Linked DNA regions of Drosophila melanogaster. The protein of the gene in region 2 purifies or fractionates together with the protein of the main gene of each other region. This does not show direct contact. Each region holds a gene or a part of one and is shown on either strand. Other genes may lie near its edges.

Region 1 (3,754 bases), on a different chromosome or scaffold from region 2:
CAAATAGGAGGTGAAGAAGCATACAATACCGTCGGGCACTGTCTTTGCCACCTCCACCAAAAGCTGGCCATAGTTTCGAATGACGGCGGTGTCTTCTCGCGTCTCGAACTTGGACGAAATGGTCACCTGGTCGTTGCCCTTCGATACAATCTGTTTGGAATAAACATTCAGATAATTGTGATGACTGATTGTTGGATTATATAGATTAACTACCATAGGAAGAAGACACGGACGGGCTAGTGTCATGGTAAAGCTGCTCATCACCACTGGATCGAAATCGAGTATCTTCGGGTACATGTCCATGGGTGACAATGTGCCAGAAGTGATGACCACGGTTTGAAATCTCGAAAATACCGGAGCCATGGCAATGGAAGAGTCTAGGCAACTAAAGTGCAAAATGGGATTCGAAACAGTCGGCGTTTTATCGTCGAAGGGTTCTATAATGATTGTGAAGCCCTTTGTGTAGGTGGACACCAGGGTGGCAAAGTGTGTAATCTGAAAATAGAAAGAGCATTAATATCGCTTTTACCTTGTATGGAATTTGAAAGCTCACCAGTGTAAGGGCTCCATACTCCGTCAAATCACTGATCTCAAGCGTGCGCAGCAGACTGGACAGGCGCTCAGCACAAAAACGCAGAGGCTTTCTCTCTATACAAATCTTGGAGGAAATATCCTTAAGGAAGCCCGCAGGTGACTCCTGAACGACATGATGAACGCGCAGTCTTGTCTTTATATACTCGATGAATCGACGCAGAAAGCTAAGGAAATGATCGGCGTTCCTAATATTTCCGGGCACCACCTCGGTTAGGACATCGTTTGGCAGGACCGGATTGGCCAGGATCATGTCCGTGTCGCGCTGCACACTGGCATCCTTCAGACCCTGCACCATGCGCTGATACTCCTCGTTCAGACGATTTGTGTCCTCTTCGCGAATGCTGTAGATTAAGAATGTTTTTTTTGGCCATAAACCAGTCGCATATCCTGAACAACTTACTCCTGAACCAGTTTAGTTAGATGGTTCAAAGCATTCGTGCTTCGCTCCACGGTGCGTCTGTTGATCTTCACACTCATCGAATCGATGCAAACGTTGTCGATGTTGTGCGCCTCATCAAAGACCACACAGGACTCGCGGCTCATTTCCTTAGATACCACCTGGGCAATTTTCGGATCTAATAGATAGTGGTAACTGTATACCACAATGTGAGCATGGGCAATCTGGTAAAGAATGCAAGATATAGTCAAATCTAGTCTTGAAATTTTCAAACGAAAAAACTCACAGCATAGCGAGCCAAAAAGTAGGGACACCAGTTGCGCGACCGACCGTATTCCTTAAGATCATCGATGCTGTAGACGCCGACCGGCAATGTGGACTCCTTGCCTTCCAGGCTAAATCCCTCAAAGTACTGGCCTACAAGTTCGCAGTTGAAATAATGGTTACATATGGATAACAATAGTCTTACAAATGGGCGTCTCGGTGTCCATCTCGTGCCGTTCGCGAATGTAGCTGGCAGTGAGTCCGTAACATTTACCGTCCACGGCCTTGCCCTCGCGCTCCTTACTGACCTCCGGATGGATGCACATGTTCTTCCTAGAGCTGAGCACCAGACCGGTGAAGGGTGGTGGATTGGGGCAGTGGCGCTCGTAGTAAACCATCAGGTTCTGCAGCTCGGCGATCACTTTCTCGATCTCCGGAACAGTACGCGAGCAGTAGATGAGCTTGCGCACCGTTTCCGGATGCTCCACCATGTAGGCAACGATCAGGGAGAGCAGCGTGGCCGTCTTGCCCGTTCCCGAGGGCATCTCCAACAGGCAGTGGCCCTTGGCGTCCAGGCTACGCTTAAGTTCCAGCATGTAGGCATATTGTTCCGGGTAGATGTACTCGTACGGAAAGTACACCAACAGGCCGTCCACGCTGAGCCTGTGGACTGGGTTGTTAAAGGAGTACTTTCATTTATCCCGTTCTGCCACTTACTTCATTATTCGCCTATTCCGGGATAATTCACAATTCCCTGTGCCGGCAAACTATCGATGGTACTATCGAGGTATAGAATTTGTACCATCGTTATCGATGGGGCTGTGAAAAATTTGCATGGATTGAGTACAAGTTTTGATATTTTTTTGGTCAACTTCTTTTTATTTTGTAACTCTGTGAACAGCGTAAAAATATTTGATGTTAGAGCAGAAATCTTATTTTTAACTGTTTGAAAATTAATAATAACTATTTAATATCTATGCATTTTAAAACTAAAAACATCAATTTCAGTAAGCAATATCTTATAAGTTTCGTTGAACAGTGTAGTAATATTTTTAGTATTTTTTTCTAGAGCATTGTGGTTTTTTAAACCCTTCAGCGAGGGTTACATTAATATTAAATACTAAAATTTAGACCAAAGTTTAGTTGCTTCAGTTTATTTATTTATCTAAATCCCACATATTTTCATAGCATGGACGACTTAAATCCGCTGGCGGGCACGGCTCACCTCCTGGAAGAGGTTGACAGTGAGTAAATCCGAATGAAAGGAAGGCCAGTCGTTGAAAACCGGCGCATTGCAGAGAAACTGATGGTACTTTTGAGAGACGGACGGACTCTGATTGGATACCTGCGGTCCGTGGACCAGTTCGCCAACCTGGTGCTGCAACGCACCATCGAGCGGATACATGTGGGCAACGAATACGGCGACATTCCTCGCGGAGTCTTCATCATTCGCGGGGAGAATGTGGTGCTACTGGGCGAAATAGTAAGCTTTACTCGATACTTTTTCAATATGACTGATTAACACCCTTTAAATATGCGTAAAAGGACCGTGAAAAGGAGCAGAAACTGCCACTCAAAGAGATATCCGTCGATGAAATCCTGGACGCCCAGCGTAGGGAACAGGAGCAGCGGCAGGAGAAACACCGCCTAGTATCCAAGGCACTAAAGGAACGAGGCCTGGCCGTAGATGCCAACATAATCAACGAGGACTTCTGCTAAGACTCCATTTTTTCCTAAGCACAAAGTTAGATTAAGCTCAAAAGATTTTCGTCTCTTTGTATATTTGTACTGCATTAAAAAACTATGTTAAAACCTATGTACATATTGCATGCAACCTGCTTAGCCTGATCCGCCCGCACCCGACCCCTTTCCGCACTCCTCGAGCAGTATGTACTTCTCTAGAATCTGGTACATCTCCACCTTGGCCTTGATCTTGTGCACGCGCGACAGTTGGCGCAAATACGCGGCAATCGACTTGCAAAAGAAGTCGTCCTCTGTTTCGCAAGTCTTTTGGGTGATGACGGCCGTGGGATTGGGTAATTCTGGGGCGGAATGCTCTCGCTCCTGATTCGCATTGGGCGGCATACAGACCAAGTAGTTCAGATCCGCGTGGTTAGACTCAATAGGCTCAGGTGCGGACGTCGCATTCGGAGCAGCGATTTCCGGATGAATTGTGACCACCTTGACCTTTTGCTCGCACTCCGCATCCCCCAGGAACTCATCGAAGCTCTCCTGTTCGGGCTCCTGCCCATCGTCCGCCTCCACGACCACCGAATACGTCTCCGATTGTGTGGTATGAGACTCCAGCTTAGCGTCGTAGTCGTGTTGCTCCTCGCCCTCATCGTAGGCGTGCGAACCTTGCTCCTCGATCAAGGTCTCTGTGTCAATAGGCAGGCGGGTACGACGCCGTCGCTGTAAATCAACCTTCATCCACCCGGTTGGCTTTTGTTCCCGATCCCGTTCGCGTCCTCTGCGCTCGCGTCTCTTGCGCACAAAGTC
Region 2 (3,754 bases):
AGACTTGGCTAACTATGTAATAGATCTTGATCCGCTGCTCAGAACTAGCATCTGCGGCCTGCAGCTTGAGCAAAAAGCTGTTGAGGATTTTGTCCGCTGCATAGGGCGCATCTCCCGATACACAAACTAAGGCGATCCCGGTGGCAGGATGGAAGAGCCGCTGATTGACATCGCTGAGATGCGGTAGAATTACGCCCAGAATAGAGCTCTGGTAGCTGTGGCTTATATCCGGTATGTGAGCAGCTCTCTCCAGGAGCGCAGACAACGCCTTAAGGGAAGCTTTCAGTATCTCCTCATTGTCATTTCCTGGAAAAGTCTCTGTTTTCAGAGCCTGCCATATCTGATCGAAGTGCGGCTCCAGAACGGAAGGCGGGAACTTCACGGCAGCTTGGTGCTGTAACAATAAATAGCATGTATAAAAAGAGGCATTTCAAAATGTTACGTTTTCTTGCCAGCAGTTCTATGGAGTCCAGTTTGGCAACCAGCAACTCACTCTCCAGCTTTTCTATGGCCAGTACCACTGTGCCCTCAGCGAATTCGTTGTTGGCTACCAGGCAGTTAGTCAACTTCTTGGACAATTCATCACGGGTTATGGCCGCTGGATCCTGCTTGCTGGGATTAAAGTCGATTGGAAAGTAACACGCAAAGATCTCAAACATCTCTTCGGCCAAATGCAGCAGCGGATACGTTGACAAGAACTCGGGCATGAAGCTGAAAATGATGTCAAGGTTGCGGGGGTCACGCTCGCCGTCAATGGAATTGATCAGGCCGTAGACGAAGTCACCGGCCATCGCTTGCAGCTCTGTATCGGGAAGAAAATTGATTTGTTTGAGTTGTAATATTGTGTAATATTTTCTAAAAATAACGGAAATAAAAGGTACTAAGATTGTCGCAAATATCTGTTCGACTAGTTAAAATCATCTAATTATAACTTTTTTGCACACTGACTTGTTTAAATCGGATTAAAGCAATGTCAATGTATCTTTCATGCTAAAATGAAATCAGGGCTCACCGTCCTGGAAGTTTTCCGTCAAGTACTGGAAAATGTGGAACAGCTTGGTGCGGTCGCTCCGCGTCTGCGACTGGCAGGTGGTGTGCTCGAAGAATGACTGCAGAATCTGGGGAATCTGGGCGCGCGGTAGAGCTTTCATGTGAACCAGGGCGTCGATTCCATCGATAATGGCTGGCATTACGTTGTGATGGTCGCGCAGGCGGTCCATGTAAAAGGTGCTGAGGAACTCCAGCTGCCGCTCTTGCAGCAGATCCTGGGGCAGTGCTATCAACACGGCGGAGAGCAAGTTGGTTCCGGCCACACGCTCCTCCATGTCCGGAGAGGACAGGGCGAAGCCCAGTGCCTCGGCCAGAGCAGATATGTCATATGCCTTGGCGGTCAGATCTGGAGGAAACAAAGAATCTCTATGAGAAGGGCACATTCGACACGGATGCGGGTGTAAACCTGCCCTTGGCTATCTGTGTGGCGGAATTCACAAGCTTCTGGTCGCTTTTCAGAGCCTTTTCCAGGGTGGCGCGCGTGGGCGTTGTCATTGCGGCACCGTCGCTTGAGTGGTGTCTAAATTTAAATGAGTTTAAGCACGTTAAGCCGAAATGTTAAGAACCGATAACCGATGACTTGTCGTACTGGCCTTATCTATATCACAGCGATGCCAGACTGGTGTTACAGTAGTGCAAATGTTTTAGCGATTAATATAGCTTTTATTGCAGTGGCGCTCAGGGATGGTAATGTGTGGCTCGGAGACAAATTCTAGAACTGGAAAATATACTTACATATTGTATATTGATTTATAATCGATAGACACGATACGGAGATTTTCTTTTTATTTTCTTGTAATTCGTTGTAAATTTAGAAATATATTTTTAGCAGCTCTGGAAACAATCGATAGTCGCCGACTGTTGCACACAGGGAACGCAACAGGGTGGTCAAGTGTCCGCGCCGATGTATCGATAAGCCCCGCATCACCAGAGCACGCACATCACTAGTATTACAAACACAGGCAGGCAGCAGTTTATTTTAGCTACCGCAGCACCTTAAACTCTGAATTAAATAGTTTACGCATTCATTTTGCGCTCGGAACGCCGCGTAACAAAGCTAGTACACTAATGTCCATAACCGTAAGTCGCCCGCGAACTGCTCAGCTGCAATTGTAGGTGTGCGGCGGCGAGACGTCAGCGCTGCTGTTGTTGTTGCTCTTGTGGTTGCTGCAGCTGCAGACGCCCCCACATAGCTGGAAATAAAATAAGAAGCATAAGAATAAGAAATACGGTGAAGTGTCGAATGCAAAGTGCAGTTTGCTGTGTCCAGAGGCTTGCAATTAACTCAAATTCTATTTAGATCGCATTAATTCGACCCATTGTGCGCCCGTGTGCGTGTGTGCGAAAGTGTGTGTTGTGTGCCGCTGAAACCTGAGCTGAGTGTGCGTGTGTGTGTGCGAGCGTTAATTTTGTTGTTTTTACTATTGTGTTTTTTGTTTTTTTTTTTTTTTTTGCATACGACGATTTGAGTCGAGTTGAAAGAATCATTCAAAGCCAACAAGGTCGAACGCCTTATTCGGCTCATAACTACCTAATACATTTTCCAATCGGCATTTGGCCCACGTCCCGCCTTGGAGGCGGAATTGAAAATCGGAGCGCGTTGCGTTTAAATTTGGTGACAAGTCGGCGGCTGTGCGCCTGATAATTTATAATTAGCAGCTCACTTGGGTCGTTGCCACTGGCATCTTCTATTATTCGCAATTGTCGCCGGGTTTTCCACTTTATTCGCTTCTGGCTGGGAGGCGCACTTTCCATTTTTACCTGCAAGGCGAGCCAGCGAATGACGAAGTCGCTTCCGTTCTATTGTTCCCCTTCCCACCCAGCAACACTTGGAGAAACTCACGCACTCGAGCGCTTTAATTGGAACTAATCTCTGTCTCTCGTTTTTGGCTACAATGACGACAACCTGTTCCGATCGCCAGTTACTGCGAGGTGGCAAGCAAAAGACAACCACTTGCGTAGGAATGACCGTAATGGCCAAGACTACGTTTGAAGAAATATGCGAGAATGCCAAATTAGCACGGGACATGGCTCTGACGGGCAACTACGACTCAGCCTGCATCTACTATGAGGGCCTCCAGGGGCTGCTCGCCCGCCAGCTGAAGGCCACCGCGGATCCGCTACGCAAGGGCAAGTGGAGCATGGTAAGACATTCCTATCACCACCTCCAGATACTGTCAACTACCATGCCAATGAATGCGAATGGTGACGGTTATGACAAACAAAGGACTTAGTCATAACATCTTGTCAACGCCATTCAAAATTGCCCAAGAGGTTTTGTGTAAACGAGTTATCTAGATCGTTAACGTGCATATAAAGATTTAATTTAATCAGAACACTACCGAATGACTAAAATTTGAATTACAAAGTAATTTCTAGCACTACTGGCACAAAGTAACTGGCTAAAACTCCAATAGATCATAATAAACCAAGTATTTTCAAAAAGTTTAATATTTACCATACCGGACGATTTCATTGACATCATTTAACTAACTGATCTTCGATTTGCAGATCAACCAGCAGATTAGCCAGGAGCACGCCAAAATCAAGGCCATTCAGAGAACCCTACAAGACATCTCGCTGGACCTACAGTCAACCAAATTTGCACACAAGCTGCGACACCAGCTCAGCGAAGAAAGCACCACCAGTAAAGATCCATCTGCCTGGTTCAAGCCGGACCCCGACATTTGGACGCCTCCGCCCA

What was found. Proteins that work in one complex are often made in the same cells at the same time.
Region 1: the proteins of Mms19 (region 2) and Xpd purify together in Drosophila melanogaster (affinity purification with western blotting, with the first as the bait; one study listed by BioGRID). This does not show direct contact.

What each region holds. Positions count from the first base shown.
Region 1 is NT_033778.4:21,169,285-21,173,038, reverse strand, and holds the start of Xpd (xeroderma pigmentosum D), read right to left. Parts: upstream 2,039-3,754; 5' UTR 1,978-2,038; coding exon 1,973-1,977; intron 1,919-1,972; coding exon 1,461-1,918; intron 1,409-1,460; coding exon 1,278-1,408; intron 1,216-1,277; coding exon 995-1,215; intron 936-994; coding exon 554-935; intron 496-553; coding exon 214-495; intron 151-213; coding exon 1-150. Other genes in the region: LSm1 (uncharacterized protein), read left to right, coding at 2,445-2,499, 2,554-2,738, 2,801-2,974; hng1 (hinge1), read right to left, coding at 3,095-3,754.
Region 2 is NT_033777.3:5,230,433-5,234,186, reverse strand, and holds the start of Mms19 (Mms19), read right to left. Parts: upstream 1,645-3,754; 5' UTR 1,546-1,644; coding exon 1,461-1,545; intron 1,397-1,460; coding exon 1,013-1,396; intron 803-1,012; coding exon 453-802; intron 395-452; coding exon 1-394. Other genes in the region: Kat60 (katanin 60), read left to right, coding at 2,119-2,130, 2,874-3,194, 3,562-3,754. UniProt on the Drosophila melanogaster protein: Key component of the cytosolic iron-sulfur protein assembly (CIA) complex, a multiprotein complex that mediates the incorporation of iron-sulfur cluster into apoproteins specifically involved in DNA metabolism and genomic integrity.